Linked DNA regions of Oreochromis niloticus. The protein of the gene in region 1 interacts with the protein of each later gene in a biochemical or structural test. Links are inferred from orthologs where the notes say so. Each region holds a gene or a part of one and is shown on either strand. Other genes may lie near its edges. The genes, in order: bmpr1ba and bmp7b.

What was found.
Region 2: the proteins of bmpr1ba (region 1) and bmp7b form a complex in vitro, tested with the Homo sapiens proteins (2 studies listed by BioGRID). The link is inferred for Oreochromis niloticus from reciprocal best matches to the Homo sapiens genes BMPR1B and BMP7.

Annotation. Positions count from the first base shown.
Region 1 is NC_031977.2:20,491,827-20,502,980, forward strand, and holds the start of bmpr1ba (bone morphogenetic protein receptor type-1B), read right to left. Parts: upstream 5,332-11,154; 5' UTR 5,080-5,331; intron 1-5,079. Other genes in the region: pdlim5a (PDZ and LIM domain protein 5a), read right to left, coding at 7,921-8,010, 8,466-8,581, 9,831-9,951. UniProt on the Homo sapiens protein: On ligand binding, forms a receptor complex consisting of two type II and two type I transmembrane serine/threonine kinases.
Region 2 is NC_031984.2:13,768,424-13,779,759, reverse strand, and holds the start of bmp7b (bone morphogenetic protein 7b), read left to right. Parts: upstream 1-7,142; 5' UTR 7,143-7,460; coding exon 7,461-7,860; intron 7,861-11,336. Other genes in the region: meiotic recombination protein SPO11, read right to left, coding at 338-450. UniProt on the Homo sapiens protein: Growth factor of the TGF-beta superfamily that plays important role in various biological processes, including embryogenesis, hematopoiesis, neurogenesis and skeletal morphogenesis.

The DNA.
Region 1 (11,154 bases):
TAATAAGCTAATTTTAAGAAAAGGAAACAGGCTGAGTTGTAATAGATTACATAAGAACTCGACTGAAAATTTGTGCAAACAGGTCTTATGGGGTGATTAGTCAATTTGGACATTTTTGATTCATTATCAGTACGTGAGGAGAAGGTCCGGAGAGAGGTACAACAGAGTGTTTACAGCCATGTGTAAACTCAGTGGACACTCTGTCATAGTTTATGACTGCATTTCAGACAATGGTGTTTTGGATCTTCTCAAAATTGATGAAATTATGGATGCAGAAAAGTACATCTGAATTTTAATCCACGATGCAATACCATCAGAAAAGCATTTGATTGGCAACGACTTTATTTATCAGCCTCACAAACATACAAAGCAGTAAAACATACGTGGATAGAAAGACGCTTAATGGACACTAGTCATGGATTGGCTGTGTGTGATCATCTTGATATAGAACAGAAAGAAAGGCAGCTAACATCCAAAGAAGAGCTTTGAATGTCCTTCGAGAAGCCTGGAGAACTATTCCTGCAGAGTACTTAAAGAAACAAGCAAAAATCCACCTCACTGGTGGTTTTTGTCAGGCCTTGCTTGCCCTGCTCATTTATTAAAACACAGATCTGTATGTTAATCTATGATGTTATTGTTTTTGTCTTCGTTATAACACTTTTACACATTCAGATGGCAAAAGCAGCTGTTCTTAAACACTGAACACTAACAAATAGACTTCTTCTTCTTTGCTGGCTAAACATTCATTGTATTACATTTGTTTTGTTTTTTCCCTGTGACTGACAGTTTTCATAAATGAGTGTCTGACCTTATAAGATATTTAACTACACTGTCAGCGTAACTATTACTATGCGCTACTGTTTATGTCATATATAAAGAGTAAAATGGGTTCTAATCCTAATTTTAAATTCATGAATGCAAATGCTGTTAGATGCACCATTCCCACAGGTAAAGCAAACCCTGAGCAGATTAAACATGTTGTTCCACGTCTGGCCAGGCGAGACGAGACATCTGTAAGTAAAACTATCACACAAACAACAAAATGCTCTACAGCTGAGAAAAAACACACTAACAACAAAAATTGCAATTTACATTACAGACAAGCTAGTGTTGTTATTGTTATATTTCCTGCAATTTTTCAAAACATTTACAAAATAGAGTTGTATAACCACGTAATTATTCGTGGTGATTTTTTTTAAAAGACAAATCCTTTTTTGTTTTTTTAAGAGTTTTTGGAGGGTAGCTGTTATGGTGAAAATCAAATCTGTAATATAATCTAACATAATTAAGGTTAAGCAGTAAATGTTTCCAGTGTTTGCCGCTCCAACCTTTTAGAACAGAGCCTCAGATCGGATGCTATTTAAGGCAGGCTGGGCACAGTTCATTATCTCAACCCTAGAAGCAAAGAGGACTCTGAAAGAAAATCCAAAATTTAGAATGTTTCAGAATTTGAGTAGAGATAAATGCTCAAATGTTTCCATAAATCACACTGACACTGTAATTAAAGAGCGTAAGGTCTTTTGGGGGGAAAAAAGGCTCCAGGCTAAGTTCTCTTATCTGTTTTTGAGTCTTATCAACTCCATCAAGTTGAGGAAATTAAATGTTAGAGAAACTAAACACTGCACTATGGTTCACTTAAATGATTGTTTACACTCTGATTAACCCTACTGTCATACGCATTCTTATTTAATGCATCGTAGGTAATCTGATTCGTGTAATTAGGGATTTGATATTGTTTTAAATCAAGACTGTCGTTAGCATAATAAAAGGAGAAAGATAAAAGCAGCGAGGTTTGGCAAGCAGCCACTGCAGAATGGAATGAACAAAAATATCAAGGACATGGCACATTTCTGTAAATCTGACCTCATGCCATTTACCCCTTTGCTCTCACTGAACACTTGAACAAATCAATTTTATGAGCTCCCACTATTGCATCATGGTTTTATCATTCCTTTCAATAACCCCTATTTCATCTGGTTTAGCTTCATTTTTTGATGCCTACGCATAAAAACTACAAAGCAGTACTTCTAGTTTTACTTTGCCTGCTCGGTTATGGACATAACATCATCAAGAATCTTTAACACGAATGTTCGCTGAGTTTGGAAACTGGGATTTTTTGAGGGGCATGCTGAGTCTACTGTGTTCAGTGGGTGTCAAAAGTTACTTCACTTGACTGCATGGCATGACATGGATGGCGGTAATCATTTTGCATATAACATCCTAAAACAGTCCCTGTCTCCAGTGTATTTTTTTTATATGCCCAGTTGCAAAAACTTTGTATTCAGCTGTTTGACAACGGGAAAAAAATACATCATAAAATAAAAACAGCTTTGACAATTTGCCTGCATTTAAACGTACCACACATGCAAGCACAAAATAAAAGAGACAGGCTTACATCTACCGACTAACACAAATACTATGCAATCTCACGGATATGTTAAATAGGGCATGATGTCACCCTTTTGAATAAGCTTTACTTTCCAGTGCAATTTTGCAGCACCTCTTCCTTCCTAAGTGTTGCACTTATCTTTTTTTCTAGGCAAGCACAAATTCAGTTTGTTTTAGGCAGATTTGGTATTCTTAGAATGTAGATTAACCTCAAGCAATGTGATCTAAATTTCCAGCAGTAAGCACGTCTCACATCACGAGGTGTCTAAAACTGTTAAGTGTCCGATATTTCTCTCTCTCTGATGCACACTCACACACACACATACACAAGGACAGAAAATTAGGGAAGCGTTCTGTTTACAGCTGCTGTGTAAAACTCAATTACACAGCCAATTGAGAATGTGGCTGTTTCTCAGATTTATGTGATGTGTTCCTGACCTAAATAAGATTGCTGTTCCAAGTGAAGCCTCAACAACTGCAAACACTTACTACTTTGACAGACAAGGAAAACAGTACCTTCACACTGACGCACAGAGGCGCACACACATACACACACACCCACACACATACACACACATCTGGACCTCTGTTTCTCTCATTTATACTTGCTGAGTGCTTTCCTGCGCGGTTTCCCCGTGTTACCGGTCCCGGACCCCTCAGATGAGGTGAGGTAAGATTTGGAGTCACAGGATTATGCCATCTGGACAGACATTCACACAGGCTTGCTCATGTGAACACATGCACACATACAGATATAGCCTGCTCTTGTCATAAGCTACACTGACAAACACCTGGACCTGGTTACTGGTCTCAAAGAGAGAGCTGAATACTATGTGCATGCCTATGTGTGTATAAGTGGGGTGTATGGGGAATACTGGGGCAGTGCTGGAGGCTGTGTTGAGGTTCATTTGATTTTTTTTTCCCCCCTGCTTTTTGAGCCCTTGAATAAGGGGGCCCACTCAGGCAAGTCTAGAAAATTCAAGTTGGGTCACTGCTACTACAAGTTGTAAGCCAATTCTATTAAAATATTCAATCGTCAGCTGTCATTATAATATATATGCTTTTCTTCACACAATTGAATTTTCCCTCTTATTGAGAAACTAATAACTTCTTTTTAATTAATGAAAAAATCTATAGGGTTCTGCATTGATATAGAACATTTGAAAAAGACAAAAGCAAGCCTTATATTTGTTTATTCCACCATAGTCTGTCAGATTTTTAATTTGTGGTCATCCCTCTTTGCCCTCAGAGCATTTTAGCAAAATGTTGCCCTCCCCCCCAAAAAAAATAGAATATGCAGCCTTAACTGGCAACAGCAAAGCCTTGCAGGATCTGTATGCAGCAGCTGTTATTCACTGTGTTGGTGACACAGATCTGTACCTGGTCATGAGCCTGCACCTTGTGTTTTGGCAGTGAACAGGGAGAGACTGATTGAGCTGGGTCCACCATACAGTCATCCCCACTATTCAGAACAATTCAGTGATTGAGACCACTGTACCACCAGGGCTTTTCAACCATGTTAGCATGTGTTTGCTCACTGGTGTGAGACCAGAGCCATCAAGCCACCATTCTGCCAACTGCAGGGCATCCTTCTATTTCTTCAGGTTTTGTTTGAGGTTAAATTAAATTGTTTGCAGCCGATGATCATGCATAGCTATGTGAGCCTCTTACTTTCCCCAAGAGTTTGCGCCTGGGATTTACAGTCAAGGGACGTTGAGCTGAGCTGATTTTATGGAGCACACAAAACTGATTAAAAGGATTATACAGGTCCATCACACTATCGAAGCACTCCACAATCAGATCAACCAGACTCTGGTGGAACTTAAAACACTCGGTCCTTCACCTATTCCTATTCTAGAAGAAGTTTCTAAATTTGTGGACAAGCCACAGCTGGCACAACACATTAAAGGAAAAGTTCCATGCATTGCAAAAGGGACTTGCACCAAGCCTCTTACTAGAGGTATCATTCCAAGGTGGGATCTGAAGACACTTCCTCTCTTTCAAGCCATGAGTACTGATGGGACTGGAGAATGACCTACTCATTTCACATGCCACAGCTAAAAGCTTTGGTTTTGTCCTAGTGTTTTCTGGTGAAATTAGCCAACAGTAAATCCTGTTACAGGGCTGTACATGAACTCATAGAACTGGAGTTACGTTAAGTAACTACTATTTGCACACTGTACAGATGAATATTAAAGTACAGAACAAGAAAAGGAGGGATAAGGTACGAATCTAGAATCCATCATGCATTCCTCTGATAACAGCACATATTATTGATTGTTAAGAAAAAAGAAGTTGCGCTCTTGGCTGACCGCTACCGAGTGTTATTTAACATGTAGCTTAATTTACTTTTCACTTTTGGAAAATACAGACCAAGCAACGCCACAGAAATCCCAATCACGTAAAGTGTAACGTAAACACCGCTAACAGAGACATGGGTAAACTATTAAAGCTCCTCCTAGCGCTTAAACTTCTCTCTCTTCCATCACATTGTGGCTCAGGAACAGCTACGCAGTGAGATAAGCCTCAAACGCTTCCAAAATAAACAAAAATAAGTCGATATGACGTGAATCTGACTGTAAACACCCCGAAAGAAACGACAAAAAACGCTCTGTCAAACTTCCCAAGGTGAATACAAACAATTGCGACTGAAAAAGATCTCCGACTCGCGTCTGCTTCGAGTTTACTCACCTTAGGATGCTTTCTGGATTTCTTTTTCTCGACTGAAAGGAAAAGTTGCAGCCCACGGTACTCAGGGTAGAGACGCGAGTCACTCTGTTTCCAAGGGTAGCTTTTCTTTCTCTCGCGCTTTTCCCTCGCTCTCTTTACACTTAGACACACACACACTGGTCTCACACAAGACTGTGTTTCTCCTAAGGTCCCTCAGCTGCAGGAGGGTGATTAATGCCACAAGAGAAGGAGTGCATTAGCAGGAGAAAGGTGAGTGAAGACTCGCACTGAATGGGTTCCTTAAAACCACTCCAATAGGCTAGTTGTTTAAGGAACACCTAAAACACAAATGAACTCCAGTCTAATTAAAAAGAAAAACAACATCCAGGCTTTGTCGCACAAAACAGTGTTTTTGTTGTTTTGCTTTCCGAGATGTGAAATTCTTAGATTTTCCCTTATGAACTTTTTAAAATTTGATGGAGTTTAAAATGAGTCTTGTGTGACAAGAATATCAAAGAGGCCTATATGCTAAGGATTATACATCATGGTACAATAACAAGTAAACATTAGCTCAGCAATGCTAAATCAAATAAGTAAGCTATGAGCTAACTCCTTAAAATATGTTACCATCAACTATACTGGATAATTTTTCTGCCTGACTCATGCCCCATCAATTGGGACAGCGTGTAAGGGTCAGTGCTGGGTTTGTTAATGTGTCTTATATACACTCAATAAAAATCCCTAAACAGTTATCTCATTTTCATCGTTTTCTACAATAACAGTAAAATCAGTTTGATTGTGCAAAGATTGGTTTGTATTAAAAAGGCTGGTTGTATAGAGGACGTGGGAATAATGTGTGGTGATGTGCCCTACATACCACTGTTTACTACCTCAGTGTCGCTCACATCCTTTCAACCATATCTTTATTTCTCTGTCTGCCTATTTTAACATTTGTCAGCAGCACAGATGTGTTAAAATTCCTCTTTTGACAGTGGTTATGACTTCTCTACAATCGTGTTAACATAGTTTCATTTGGTTAGATAGCATTACACTATAAAGAAATAGCAGACATAAAAAAAAATTTGTTTTGGGCATAAAGGCACACCATTTATTTAAAATCCCAGATCAACTTTAAGAGTTCCAACAACATTTTTGTACTTGAGAATTTAGAGACTGAACACTTTAATCATGCCTATTAGCCCCTTACAGTAAAAAACAAGATTTATAATTATAAGAAGTCAGTGAAAGAGTGCGTTGTCATTTGTAATAGCATTGGGGGGAAAACTAAATAGGCTGGATGTATCCTGCACCTGTATCCTGAGTAGACAGTCACAAAACAAGAAACTACCCTCCATCCATCCATTCCCTGCACCAGTTTCTAAAATAACAACATTCTCTGCTTAATGTCATCTCAAACATTTTTTCCTCTTCTAACTAAATTTAAAAAAATGCGCTTTCTAAACAGAGCTAAACATCTGAATGAAGCATAAGGAGAAGTGTATGAAACAGATATTAAAGCAAATATATTTTCTTTCTAAATCATGGCAGAAAATAACTAAAAATGGGATTCATGAAACTATGAGAAATGTCAAGAAAGATATGTTGGTCCACATAGCAAGGAAGAAACAGGGACTTCTATATACATTCACCAGACACTTAAATATTCACTTTAATTTTTAACTGCTTGTTAATGCAAATCTTTCATCATACATTAAGATGCTAGAAATAGTCAAGGTAACTTGCTGAAGATCAGAATGGGGATGAAAGTTGATTTAAGTGACTTGAGAGCATCTCTGAACTCGCAACATGTCAAACCTTGAAGCAGATGGGCAACAGCCCAGTATGGATGTGCAGTCGCCAAATCTGCAACTGTCGGATGTTGTCATGTCAATATGGACCGAAATCTCAGAGGAATGTTTGCAGCAACTTGTTGAATCAATGCAATGAAGAATTAAGGCAGTTCTAAAGGCAAAAGGGGGTCCAACCCAGTACCAGCAAGAGGACACTAATGAAAGCTGGTGAAAGTATCTATGAAAAACATTTGATCATTTTTGGTGTTCAGGTTTGCTCAAGTGCCTTAATGTCCTAGCCAGTTTCACTCAACAAATAGAAAATGAAATCAAATTTCCTTAAATTAAAACATTCAAATAACTGATTAAATCAAAGGCAGCAGCTTTAATTACAACTCGGACATTCACAGATGAATTGTATAAAGCAAATAACACAAGCATATCCTGCAGTATTTTAATGCATATACTGGGAATTTTTTTATAGTTGCTTGTGAAACTGTAATGCAAAAAACAAAATAAAACAAAGTGTAACACAGGACGTTCTACAGTTTTATCTTTAAGTCTTTATAGGTTTTAGCCAGATTAATAAAATTGATTACAACTACACAAACACTAACAAATATCATAACTAACAATAAAAACTTGCCAGCATCCTTGAATACTTAAAATTATCAAACATTTCTGGTGGTGTCTAAAGATAATGAGCACTCTGCAAGCTTAATAATAAAAACAGAGAGTGAGATGATCTCACCACTCAAGACAAAATTCAGAAGAACAAAGTAAATGATAAAGTAACAGTCCTATGTGTGAGGAAATAAAAATGGCATTATGGTACATAAAATGTATCAGTTGGTAGTAAAACCTTGCTGTTTGGGGATGATTGACAACATAACATTTAGTTTACAAAGATCAGTTATAATTGATTGAAATGTTGTCAAAACTAAGATCCTTAAGCTTTATTGCTTTTTGTGCTAAGAGATAGCACCACTACAATAATGACTACTACTGTCATCATAAAAGGTGTCCCCAACCCTCTGTGAGACAACATGTGGCCAAGTGAATAGTTTAGGCTTCATATCTTCAGTGTGTGAGCATGCTTCTTGCAAAGAGGTTTGTCCTTTTTGGAGAAGAAGGTCTGGCCTTCCAGTGTGGTACAGCACACCTGTAAAAAGCCCAACACACATGAATAATAAGAGATTATATAACAAAAGTTAGCCAGCCTACACTAAAGCTCACAATGGATGTAAGTCAGTGTTTCATCTAAAATAAGCACTGCTGTCATATTATTGTGAAAAAATGACTTATGGTGAGGTTATGAGATTGCAACAAGTAAGCTATTCTGCTAAAACCTCCATCACAAAGGATGGATAAAAATGAACATTGTTGTAGTACATTAACAATAAAAAGAAAGAATGACAGAAAGAACTAAATAGGGCCAGTAGCAGAGAGTAGCACTATGACCTCAAACTTCTTTCTGTGTCCAAGTTAAATAGATAAAAGTTTCTTGATGGTTCAAAGTTGGAAATGGGATTATGAGTAAATGTGACAGTAGGTCGTATGTGTTAGTCTGCTGATGGACTCAGTTTACTGTGACACATGCCTGAAGTCTTTACTTACAGCACATACAAAGCAGGTATCATGCCAGGTGTAACCAAGGGCTTCCAGGAATTTGTCTCCAGCCTCGATGGGAAACTCACAGCCATGACAGCCAGTCCCAAACAAGCTGTAAAAGTCTGTTTAGTGACAAAGAGAAAAGTCATGTCACTATGGTATAAACAAAGGGTTTAAAGTCATAATGGCAAGACCCAAGCAAACTTTAGTACTCAACAAAGAGAGCTTGTAACTCTTTGGGGTACAACAGGTTCACCCACACTCCAAATACACGCATGTTAGGAAAACTGGTGATTCTAACTTCAATTCAATTCAATTCAGTTTTATTTATACAGCGCCAAATCACAACAATAGTCGCCTCAAGGCACTTTATATTGTAAGGTAGACCCTACAATAATACATACAGAGAAAAACATAACAATCATACGACCCCCTATGAGCAAGCACTTTGGCGACAGTGGGAAGGAAAAACTCCCTTTTAACAGGAAGAAACCTCCGGCAGAACCAGGCTCAGGGAGGGGCGGCCATCTGCTGCAACCGGTTGGGGTGAGAGAACGGGTCGCAGTTCTCTCATCCCATAGGTGTTAATGCAAACATAAACACCTATAACTTGGCTATAGGTGTTAATGTTTGCACGAATTGTTTGTTGTCTCTCTGTGTTTGACCTGCGATAGACCGAAAACCTGTCCAGGGTGTACTCTGGCTCTCACCCCACAACAGCTGAAACTGGATATAAAACACATTGCGAGTGAGCAGCAATCCAACTGAAGCCCACTTTTATCTTTTATCTATTCACAGACTGCTGGATTTTTTTTTTTTCTTTTATTCTAGCAAAAAAACATTGTATACCGCTACCGCTATACTGTCCTACATCAGGAAAATGCTGATATTCAGTACATTTAACACTAACTCATCACACACACTGCTTACCAGTGATCCACTGTGAATCAGCAGGTGTTGTTGTTTCTGATCCTGTTGTTATTGGTGACAATGAACATCGACACTTGACACTAATTTTAGGGGTTGATTAATTATAATCAATCCATCCATGCTTTAGTAATAACTAGCAGTTACAGCCTGCTGGGCTGAGTGAGCAACACCAATGATAACCACTGTACAACAAGTTTTCTTTTTTTTTAATATATTTTATATTATTTTTGTGTTGTCAGTAAAACCAGAGAAGTGTTATTAATGTAGCTTACCACTGACCATACACTACCTACATGCTTCATAAAATGGAGTTAAGATGTTTTCTGATTTCTTTCATTTATTTCAGCAGATGCTTTGAACTTGATTATACCATGTACAATGAGTACAGTGGCAATTACAGGAAGTACATCTGGATATTTTATCAACCCCATTATAACTCACCCGGTTCACAGTATGGTTCTCCATCCTCCAGGTGGAAAGTGTTGTTTCTGATTGGTTGCTGACAGTAAGCACACAGAAAGCAGTAGACATGCCAAGTCTGCTTGAGGGCATTTATCACCTCCTAAGGGAAAATGTAAACAATGTGGCTAGTAAGAGGCATAATATAGTTTTAGGTGCATTAGTGTATATAATAGAAACTGGAAAGCTATATCCACTTTAACAGGAAATGGAGGTGCAGCATCTTATGAAGGGATGTTATCATATTACATTGCTGCTTATGAAATTTTATTCACAAAGTCACAAATTTTTACGCAAATCTTTGTACAACTTTTACCAGAGTAGGTCATTTTATTTTTTCTTGAATATCACCGGTTTTTTTTTCTCTCTCCTTGGTCTCCATGACCTACACCGATTTCTTTCCCACCCGTAAACTGTGAGAGCAAGATAAGACAAAGAATCGATGGAAAGTTGGCGAGCTGAACTAAAATGAAGGATTATGAGCGAGGGAGTGAGAAAACAGGTTAATAAGAAGCCATAAGCTGTTTGAAGATGTGTGAGAAATAGAGGGTTGAAAGGGATTTAGGCCACAGGGGTTAGAACACGTGAGGGATGAATGTCATAGTAGCAAGGAGAGCAGAAATTTCAGCGTCCTGACACTCTGGGTTCAGGCTACACCTACAGCCTCAAGGCCTCTAAGCCTAATTCTCCTAACACCCAAAAATCTACTGCATTCCTGAGTTTTACTGGTGGTCACCGTAGATATTCCTCTGCACATTCAGGCTTCCTGCTCTGGTCTTTTATGTATTTAAAAACTGTCTTTGATGTTGTTCCATCTGTACTTTTTAAGCTTTTCTGCAAGTAGGGAAATAGGGAAATAATTACATTCCTGTTTTAAATGAATACTTCTGTTAGAAGTATTAATCTAAACTCTAGACAATAAGTGAGTGTAGTGGCTGCGACTCAGGAGGTAGAAAAGGTCATTTACTAATCAAAGGGTCAAGTGGTTTGATCTCCGGCTACTCCATTCCACATGCCTAAGTGTCCTTGAGAAAAATACTATGCCTATTGTCTGAGTATCAGCATAAGTGCATAGAATAAAACATATGAAAAGCCGAATGTGAGTTGTAGAATAACAAGTTCTATGTGCTAAAGTGCTAAATATAGACACCAGTGCATTTGATCATAAACAGATTTCATAATAAAGGAACCTCATGTCCCAGCGAGCAGGAGGTTTACACACAGTATATACAGTAAATATCTGCATGAATATAGATTTCAAGTTTTAGAGCTACTAATCATGTTTACACAGTGTTGTATAACAATT
Region 2 (11,336 bases), on another chromosome or scaffold:
TTAACTAACACTACCCATGATTGGCAGCCATTTTTACATGTGACTGATTACACTGGGATAATAACAGGGCATAATGACAGGCTATGGTGAATTGGTAAAGTACACAGCTAGCCAACTACGAAACACAATGTCGGGTAAACCCTAGATAAACTGCTCTTTGTGAATATATACACATCGATTAAATATTAAATATAACCACAATACCAGTTACATTAAACCGCGTTGGGTCCTCAAAACATCCACACAGTCTCCGTGAATACTGTTATACTACACAGAGAATAAGCTAACCTAGCGTAACTGGCTATTAGCCGGTTGAAGCAGATCGCTGTGAACTTACTGGTTGATTTCTTTTTCAGCACGCTGCCAGTCTGTCATGACTCCCACGTTGTTCAACAGTTTTGCACGGAGCTGATCAATTTCGGAAAAAAAATGAGCCGCACGGGATTCCATCACGTTACCTGTTACTAGATGTCATTTTATCTACCTGCATGAAATTCCCGCGTAAGGATGTTTTACGGAAATCTCGCGCGTTTTGTGTCGATCACGTAGTTCAGACCTGTAGTATTTGTTTTGAATAAATTAATTTTCAACAATTATTCTGCCCTAACAATTTCTAGATGGTATTCAAGCAAAACCGAGCTAGTAAATAGATACATTGCGAAAGTAATAACAATTAGTAATAGAAAAGTGATTAATAATAATAAACGTTTTTAAATTAATATGATTTTTGAAAGTAAAATAAAGAAAGAGGTGTCTCCTAACACTGTCACGCCGTTTTTAATGACCGATACTAAAAATTAAGCAAATAAATAAATAAATAAATAAATAAAAGTGGTGCTGCTTCAGACTTATGCGATTCTGATAAACAGGCAACACTTACATTCTCCAGACTTTTTTTTTTTTTTTTTTTTTAAAGGGTTTTTTTTTAAAGTGGTGTTAAGCAATAGTTCTCTGGGCTTTCTGAAGGCCTTTCAAAGTTGTTCATTGGCAATGGCTGTTTTTTGTTAGGTCACTCAACAGTGACCTATGAATCATTCAAGCATAAAAACTCACTTATGTCAAGAGGTGGAACAGTGTTGTGCTGACACCTAACAGACATCTTGGCAAAGAGACAATTTTAAACTGTATCTTTAGACACTTTAGATACTTCACACATTGTGAAGTAAATACTTTTCAATTTCTTCAGTTAAATTTAGGGAAAATCCAAAAGACAACACGGTTTGAGAGACAGAAAGTACCATTTTTGAACGAACAAGGTGATTGCCAAAGAGCTATTAACTGAAAACATAGAATATCTCAGTACTGCGTGCATTGTGACCTTAAAAAATCTGAGGAAACTGGACAAGTGGTGGACAAAAGAAGTGGCAGATCTAAAAATGATCTAGAGCAGAGGAACGGCATATGAGAGCCATATTCTTAACAAATAGGAAAAAAACTAATGAATCCAATTTTTTTTTTTTTTTTTCAAGATGGTTCAAATCATCATCAATATGTATGGAAGAGTTGAAGAGAGAGGTGTCTGAAGCCATCTGCAAAACAAGGTGTTGGATATCCTGTCAAAACCGATGAAATTATGAATGCAGAAAAGTGTTGTGAGATGTTAATCAACCATGCAATACGATCTGGAAATTGCATGACACACAAGAACTTTCTTTTTTCCACATGACAATGATCCCAAACACTGCCAATGCAGTAAAAGCATACCTGGATAGAAAAACACATAGTGGAACACTATGAGTCATGCATTGGCCTCCCCAGAGCCTGGACCTCATCATTATTGAAGCAGTGTGGAAAAAAGGCATCATTTTGATAGAGAACAGAGCAAAAGGCAGCCAACAACCAAAAAGAGCTTCAAGAAGGTCCGTCAAGAAGCCAGAGAACTATTCCTGAATACTATAAATATCATAAGAAAGCTTGCCTAAGAAAGTTCAGGCTGTGTTGAAGAATAAAGGGGGTTATACCAAATGTTGACTTTCAGCTGGTTAACTGCACAAACTCTGTTTTTGCTTTGTAAACTGTATCTCTGTATATGTTTGCACATGTTTCAATTAATCCCTTCATCTATTTCCCATTTTCCTACCAAAACATAAAGAAATGAGGGGTGGCTCAAGTCTTTTGCACATCACTGCATAAGCTTAAAACTTATTCCTACCAGTCTTCCCGTTGAAGATAAAGGTCAGTGATCCAGTGTGTGTGGGCCAGTTAACACCTCGTGGTGTAAATTAGGAGGCATATCCTGGTAATCTAGAAAAATCCGAAACAGCACCCTATGTGACATTCATAAGGCCGTGTCGCTGAGCTTGCTGCTTTTTGTCCAAAGGTGTGTCGTGTGTGTGTGTGCGGTTTCAGTAGGGTGGGTGCAAGTTTAATTGGTTGTGGTTAGCGTCTGTGAGAAGCCAAATATATATTGTTTCTGTTAGCCATGTGGAAGTGATTTTTAAATGTAATTTTGATGATGGCTGTGTGCGTAACGATAATGCTGGCCAACATGTGTTTTAAGGCTCTCTTAAATGGTACAAATGCTGCTCATTCTTTTGTTAGGAGCTCAGTTTACTATATCAGACAGTTATTGCCTAATTACAGCTGTTTTAAGCTACAAACATTAAAAAGACATTAAATAAATACGACACCCTGAGGAAATTGCACATTTTACTTCATAAACAACCTTTCAGAACCTGTTTCTGTCTCTTGGTTGCATTGTGCTGCAGTCATGTCGCTTCATTAAAGCAGAAAAATGTGCTTGGATTTTACAACTATTAGGTCATCAAGAGTCCCCACCTTTCAGAATTGCTGGCAGGCATGCTGCGTGTGTTTGGAGAGGCGCTGTGGTCTTTTTTTTCCACAGTGTGAAGGCCTGCTCAGAGCGTGTGGGAGCCAGGATCTAAAGAGAAGAGGTCCGTGCCCCTGACCTGACCCTGAATATTTTCTAATGTGCAGCTTTACCAATGGTCCCTCTTTCCCCTGAGTGACTTTGACAAGCTGCTTCCGTAGTAATGTCTCTTAATTTCTGAGTAATTGCTATCTCTTAGTGATGAGGAACAACCCCTCACCCAAGCTGAAAAAATGTTAATATGTGGAAGACCACAGGTTGCCGGGGTCCTTTTTCTTCTGTTCCAGAAAGCCCGAGACCCCTGCTGTTCCTTTGGCCCAAGAGAGATTTGTGTCGAGTGTGAGGCCCTAACCTGAGGAGACAGAGTGCAACGAGTCATGTGCTTGTCTCGGGATGAGTGTTTGTGCTGGGCAGGAGGGGGAACATGGGGGAAGTAAGGGGCTGCAGGGTCAGAGGAAAGAAAGGGGGGGCACCCGCTGCAGGTGAGGGGGATTAGCTGCAGCTAGAGGCCCAAAGAAACTAAATACAGATCTGTCAACCTAATCCTCACAAATAGAAAACAGAACCACCCTCCCTTCACAATCCACATTCAGCTCATCCACCTCTTGCTCTTCTACCCCCCACTACACGCCAACCCTCCCACCTCCCCTCCACTTACTACCTCAGGCTCTGCTGCTCCTCTGTTTCTCATCAGTTTTTGGCCAGTCTGTGCTGCCTGCTCTCTAATGGCTCCTCAGACCAGCATCCCCTAAAGAGGGGCTGACTGATCACCCAGGGTCCTCTCTGATTGACAGACCAACATAGCCTTATGGAGTGATGAAAGCAAGAGTCAAAGGGGCAAGGCCTCTCGCTACACAGACAGGAATCTTAATGGGACCTCTGTCGAGAGTTGCTGAAACTGGGTGGACATTTATCAGGCCCACACACCTCAGTAATGGATGCCGATAAGTGTGTGGCTGGGTGAGGAAACCAGTGTCAAGCCTGGACTCTGTGCTGATGACACAAGTGACAGGGCGCCTGAGTGATAACATCCTATAAAGGATAAGCTCTACTAAGCTGGGCGTTATAGAAGGCTTAACTAAAACGGTATCTCTGATTGTCAGCAACACCAACTATAACTGATGGGTCTGGCTGGACTGCTGAGAGCTATAAATCAGGTTCAAGCTGCTCTGGTGATCCCAAGTGTGATATCAGCTTGCAGACAAACATGGGGTGGCAGGACATACCAGGTTGAAAGAAAGCAGTGAGTGATGGAGAGGAGAGCTGCAAGGTGCACTATTTCAAATAAGATAATCACATATTCCTCATTCGAAAATATCTGCAGATCATTTGGACGTGTCACAGTGTCATGAAGCTCATATATACCAAATTAAATTAAAGAACGACATAAGGGTTGGGTTGCAATTGCCAGTTCCAAATTATATGTAACCTATTTGTTATTGCTCAAGTCTAATAAAAGTCCTCTTGAATTTTTATCGCCGCCCTTTTTCATGATTATTGTACCTGGCAAAACATTACGTTTAGTTGTTAAACATTGAGTTTTGGTTCTTTGGTTGTTGAGCTTTACAATGTGAACTAGTTTGAAGCTGTTTCATATACCCACCCCCCTCTTTTCTTCTGCCTGTCTCACAGCTGTGTCTCATATGTTCATGAGGCCCCTGGAAGTGTGAGACACCAGAAGGGGAACATTTGCAATAGCTCTGCTCCACCTGGTTAGGCTGTTTTAACAGGCCGTCGGTTTGTGCAGCGCACACAGTGGGGTTACGCCAAAAACATAGACGAAGGAGGACAGGACCAGCAGACGAGGGAGGGGGCATGAGCAAAAAATGTGCCTCCGCCGTCTTGTGTCCTGGCACCCCGGCCCTACACTTCTTTATTTGAAGGTCAGTTTACCTTGAAAAAAAGTTTTACTGTATCGTCTGTTGGTCTACTTGGTCAGACCCCGCCCCGCCCCTCTTCCACCAAACCTCATCCGCCTCCCTGCATGCACAGGTCTTCAAAGGACTACTGCCTGCTGCTCTCTGAGGCAACACATGAAATAAATATTAATCTGACCTCTGACCGCATGCTTTGAGCTCCTAAGCAGAGTTAAACAGAAAGAGCATCAACTCTTGTCATAGCTAAAAAGAAGTAAAAAGAAAGAAGCAAAATATTTTGAAGTGTTACCTGGGTGCGAAAGCATTTCCAGGTATATTACGCTGCACCGCTGTGTGGTCTTCTTTGGAGCTTTGCATCATGCTCCAACCTGTTGGAGTGTAGTGGGGAGGTGTTTATTTGCTCAGATCCCCTAAGATCATAGTGGAAAGAGCGCATGTGTGTGTGCAGTCAAAATGCTCCAGGCCAAATGCTGGGTTTTAAAAGAAAAGACCTTTTGAGTTTACCATTATGAGCTCTAATAGAATAGCCCTTGTCATCATGGCTGCACAGCTGTTCAACTCAGCAGAGTTTTCTTCCTGAAAAGACTTACTCAGGTACACTGCATGTCTACGTGTCTACTTTTTTCAGCAGCTAAGCAGAAATGTTCCGTGTATGTTTTATTTTATTCATTTATTTTTTAACATTTTCTTTTACAGGCCCAAACAGAGTGTCTCACAATTTGTCTGGCTTGTGTATTTTAGCCAAAATATTCAATTTAGTGGGACACACTTGAGACAAGTTGTGGCTATTCTTTTGGAAGTTTGTATGTGTGTGTGTATGTGTGTGTGCATTACTGACAGGATATTCAAACACTGTTTGTTCTACTTTTCTACTAGTCCCCCTTGTCAAAGGCCCCTTAGTGCAGCTTACCCTGCCTGGCCTCTGCCTGTGCCCAGTGTTTACTGGGACTGTCACCAGACTCATGGAGGCCGAAACAAAGGGGGGTCTGTTCTTATTGTCCCGTCCAGGATTGTCAGCCCTTCTCTGGGCACAAACTGAACTGAGGGCTGGGGGCTGTTTGAAGAGCACTGGGGGCATCTGACCTCACCAGACTTACAGAAAGGGCATGAGAATGAAACAATGAGAAAGTCAAAAGAAAGTGAGAAACAGAGGAAGATGTATAGCTATAACCCAGGACCTTTCAAGTCCTCTGTCGGAAACTGCTGTTATGTAAACACCTGCAGCCATTAGCTGATTCTATCTGAGGCACCGGATAGAAATGTTTATATGTTACATACTACTGAAAGGCGAGTTAAAAGCAAATAGAGTATTAGATATACAAAATGAGTAGTGGCAGGCTATGTAAGCTTTAATGCTTTAAGCCATGTTGAATTGTCATTGGAAAAAAGAGGAGTGGAACGCCTTTGAAGACAAGAACAACCACATTAAATGGGCAGGAAGGTGAGCTAAGACCCCAAGACATGCTCTACCTCCTTTCCTCCCTTTCCTCTGTTTGCAATCATAGCTTAAGCTGTCTGGCAGCCTCTCTTGCTGTGCCATTGAAGTCTAATTTTATTGTCATAAAAATCACCTGGCAAGCTGTAGCCTGAAGACCCTTTGAAACTCCCCTCTCTGTGCAGTGAGTACTCTCTAGATAAAGCAGTCATTCTCGGGCCATCTGAAGTCCCTCCGCCTGTGTCAGTGAGAGCAAAGCGCACATGAGGGTCAGGAGCGTTCTATTAAAGTGTGGTGTTTAAGAGGTGCTGGTGCCAGGGGGGCAGATGGAGGAATGAAGCAGCTGCCGAACATCTGCACCCCTCCTTTGCAGTCTGAGCCCTGTGCACTGCTGCTTTTGTCACAAACTTCCTGCTCTAGCTCTGGGGATGGAAAACTAGGATATCTTCAGAAATGCAGCGTGAAATGGCAGTTGTGGGGCTGCAGTACAGCCTCTTTGACATCAAAAGATAACAGGCTTTAGAGTCTCAGAGCCACATGACCCAAGGCATTCAGAGAGTGCACCTGCGGATCAGCCAATTAACTATTGTAATGGCAGGACTGCAACTACATGTTGCGACCTCTCCTACAGTACTGAAGTATTCACTTGCAAAGTCAAATAAGAACTCTCTGATATGAAATCAGCCTTCCATATGTACACTCACCATGAACGGTCTGTTGTGGCTGTCTTAACATCAGTCATTAGTGAATTATCACGAGCCTACAGGTACTAGGAAATGTGGAAAGCATTGACGAAATGTGGTGTATAATAAACTGAAGCGTCATAATACAAATCCAGTCCTAATCCTTTTCTTATTTGCACATGTAGCCTCAAGGCGTTCTCCTACTGGCAACAAAGCCAGGCTAGCTCTGCTCAATAAGGCAACCACAACATTCTCTCTCTCTCTCTCTCTCTCTCTCTCTCCCTCTACTCCTCTTTGCAAACAGCGCCTCCTCAAAACTTGTTCTCGTCTCTCCTAGTGAAACCTGTCTGCTTGCAGCCTCCTCTCTGCAGTTGCAGGCTGCACTACAGCTGGTAGAGCTTGACCACAGGTTGCGCATGAGGACCGAGGTCCACGCGTCCAGGAAAGCAGTCAATAAAAGGACTTTGAAGTGAAGTTGATGTTTCACTCGGCAGCACTTCCCTCAACATGAGGGACCGTAACTGATTTTGGATATTAAACACAGAGTGCCTGCTGCTAAAAGTTTACTAACCATTTTTTTTTTTTTTTAGAGTTTCGGTGATCCGAATTGGGCGCAATTACGCACTGCGAGCATTATGGCACAGATTTTGGATAAGCGTGCTCCCGTTTTGCTCTTGGTTTGGAGCTACTGCGTCCTGGCAAACACTGCCTTTACGAACTTTACGTTGGACAACGAGTTTCACTCCAGTTTCATCCACCGTCGGCTGAAGAGCCAGGAGCGCAGAGAGATGCAGCGGGAGATCCTGTCGATCTTGGGACTGCCGCACCGGCCGCGACCCCACCTCCATGGAAAACACAATGCTGCCCCGATGTTCATGCTGGACTTGTACAACGCCATGTCTACAGACGGAGACGAGGACAGATACTCCTACCCTTACAAACCCGTCTTCACCACACAGGGTCCACCGATAGCCAGCCTGCAAGACAACAACTTCTTAAACGATGCAGACATGGTCATGAGCTTTGTGAATTTAGGTAGGCACTTTATTTTCTTAAGTCTCCCATCAAATTCAGTTTTATATAAATCCCCTCCCAGAAAAACAAGACCGTAGAGAATAATAAACACGTTGAAATATTATCAATGTAATCGTTGTTATGCGCGTCATAATAACCCAGGTCTTTTATTTGATTAATAAAATGTAGTACTATTATGACTGTCTTTATCTATTAATTATCAAACACATAGCAAGGACTTTGAAAAAAAAGCTTTTTTAAGGACAGATATCTTTGGCTTGACGATTATAAGTGTTGAGAAGTTTCATATGTTAATTCGCGTCGGGGTTCTTTTTTTTTTTAACAAGGAGATTTAGTACTTTTAATATTGCACTCTGCTTGATACATCTTACACATTGTTTTTGGGACAAATCAGGCTTTTAGTCATATGATATGTAAGTGTCAAAGGTGGAAGAGCAGAATGACTGTGGTGGTATTTTATATTCTCACAGTGCTTCACGTAAAGAAACAGCACAAGTATTTTTCTGATGGTACACCTGTGTCCACACAAAGGAGACCAGCACAATAACGACGTTTACATACTGCAGTTATCTAGCTAATACCAGGAGTGGCACATTCCAGTGTCCTTCTCTGTTAAACAGCTGTGCAACCAGCTAATGTTCAGGTGCTGTTCTGTGGATGATGGACCAGACAGCAGCTAACTTGTCAGCCATGTGTTATCTAAAGAATGAGTAAGTCAACAGCAGAATGAGTTCAAAGTGCACTGGGTCCTCCCTTAACTCTAATCTGGAGACATCCCTCACATCACAAATAATGCCAGCCAGTGATGTTAGTTTAGTCACAGTGTGATTTAATTAGATTCAGTTGTTCACAAAATAAATATCAGTGGCATAGGACATACTTCACATCAATTAAATTGCTTTGTTGAATGTTGTTTCCTGGCCCAATGTGCTTATCTAATCAAATATGTTTATTGAAATCGAACACTCCTGGATTTTTTATTGCTGCCAGCAACAGTCAGAGGTTGTTAAGTGTAAATAGTCAAAACATTAGCATGTGGTATCAGATTTATGGATTGATAAAAGCATCATTATAATTCAATTTACTTAACAAATTATGTAGTCACAGCAACAGCTCCATTTATGTTCCAGATGAGTAGCTTTTACATATCAATCTGGGACCAGACAGACATAGAAATAAATCAAATCTGTAGGAGGCATACGGATGGTTACAGTTTTTGTAAGCCAATACATTTTTTTTTCTTGACTTTCTGCAAGCAGTGAGACATTTACATTCAATCCTGGAAAGATCATTGTTGGAGTGTCTTGGCAAGAGAGAGGGAGGTGACACTGGCTCCTCCACTGCACTGTGTAATTACTGTGGGAGCTGCTGCATTGTGACTATTTTTGACAGGCTGTGACACAGATGGATCTGACCACAGAGACTCAAGACACAAGTCAAGGGCCTCGCAAAGTCAAGGGCCAAGACGGCACTAAGATGGCGAGAAAGAAGGGAGCAGGGAGCCTTTGGCAGAGTGATAAAGTTCCTCTGTCTATTTTGCAAAGGTCTTTTTAGCAAAAAACTTTTGCAAGATGGCTTACATCAGCTAGGGAGAACTTTTTTATTTCCTATGTTAACAAAAACAAAGTCACACTGCCCTCTTGAAATCTTGTGGCTAATGTAATCACTAATGGCATCTGCTCAGGTTGAGTCTTCCTCACAGCACGTATTTAGTCTTCCCTCAAATGACACTCATTTGGATATAAACAGCGCATTCATGATTTAATCTGCCACGTGTTAGATCTATCAGTAGGGTCCATTGTTAGGCTGGTTCCGTACTCTCATGTGATACCATCAAATAGACATCCTGGTGGCTTTATTCAAAACAGCAGATAATATGCAATTTCGTTACCCTTTACACGAAAGGGAGGGAGGGAGAGGGAATTCACTGAGAAGAAAGTGATGGCTTTCAAATGGATTGACTATTTCCTCTCCAAATTCCTTCCTTTCCACATTTGCTCGTTGTGGTTTTTGTTTTCTTATTTAGGTTGTCTGAGAGCAAAATGAGTGTAGCTTTTATTTAAAAATTGTCCCTCAAAACTGCATGTCTCCATAGCTACTGAGCCAAGGTACATTAGTCAGACTTTGTACCCTGGGTGCTGCTTCCTGAGAGGCCTGTTTTCATGCACTGTTTGCATTTAAATTTATGGTCAAATATGGGAAAATGGATCTGATTTTAGAATTGCCATCAAAATCAAAGATCCCTGAGCTACTAGAATAGTCCATAGAATGTAAAAGAATTGTTCTAGCTCTCACTCTTCCTTACTGATTGCCACTCAACGGAGCTGATACACTTTGTTGTCAGCTTGTTTGAGTATATGCAGAGACCAATGCAGCCAGCGAGGGTGGGTGTGGGCTTTGGGACAGACCTCAGGCCAGGGAAGTCCTCTCTCTGAGTCACTTCAGTTTAAAAGGCCAGCTGTGTAAATGACTTACAGCATGCATTCAGAATGCATACTGCTGCATGGAGCGCAGCTCACCCAGGTCCTGGGTGTGTGCCGCACATGCTGTTGTAGCGCACCAGAAAATTAGCACACTCACCCTGCTGTCATAGCTAAGTAACAGTAATGAATTTTACCTGAAATGCCCATTTACACATCCCCAACCACAGGAAAGGGCCATGACTTGGCTGTCTGCTATTTGCATCCTGGATGACTTAAAGAGAAGCAACATCGTCACCTGTGCTGTGTGTGTGTGTGTGTGTGTGTGTGTGTGTGTGTGTGTGTGTGTGTGTGTGTGTGTGCATGTGAAGAGGGAGGTGAGGGCATAGTCTTTTACTGCATGATGTTTTCACGAGGTGTGTTAGTCACAGCGCCCTTATTTTTCCTGTTCTCATGCAATCACGGATTAATGTATTCTTATGGGGCTGTGAGTCAATCACGGTGCTACACTAAGGCAATCATTTAGTGGAAGCTACATTTAGCAGATTCATATGGTGATGATATGGTAGTGTCATGTTATTACTCCAAGTTAAGACCAATTTTATCCTTTGTTTTTCTAATTGCCAGCAATTCTTAAAGTTCTGGCATGTCTGAGTTTAGTTCCTGAATGTCCTACCCTGCCTGTGGCACCCAGCTTCATGCCTATTAAGTCCAACTGAAGAGGGTAATCAAAGCTACACATTCACATTTTGTTGTTCTCAAGTTATATCCCTTTAAAGTTTTTACAAAAACCATAAAGACTTGAACGCCCTATCAAACTGTGGCTTTACAGATAATTCTTCTTAATTGTGGCAGTGTTTGCAAAGTTGTCAACTTGTTCGTCTGTAGGATGTTTTCAGCTGGCAGTGTAAGGTCCAACACTGTAGAATTGGCATTTTGTTTAAAAAATTGATTTTTTTTTTGTTGAAGGAAGCTTGGTTTACTTCAACAATCCTTTAATTACTACTTGAAGCCACAGATGGCGCTGTTACCGTTTTACAGTTGAAGTTTCGGTAA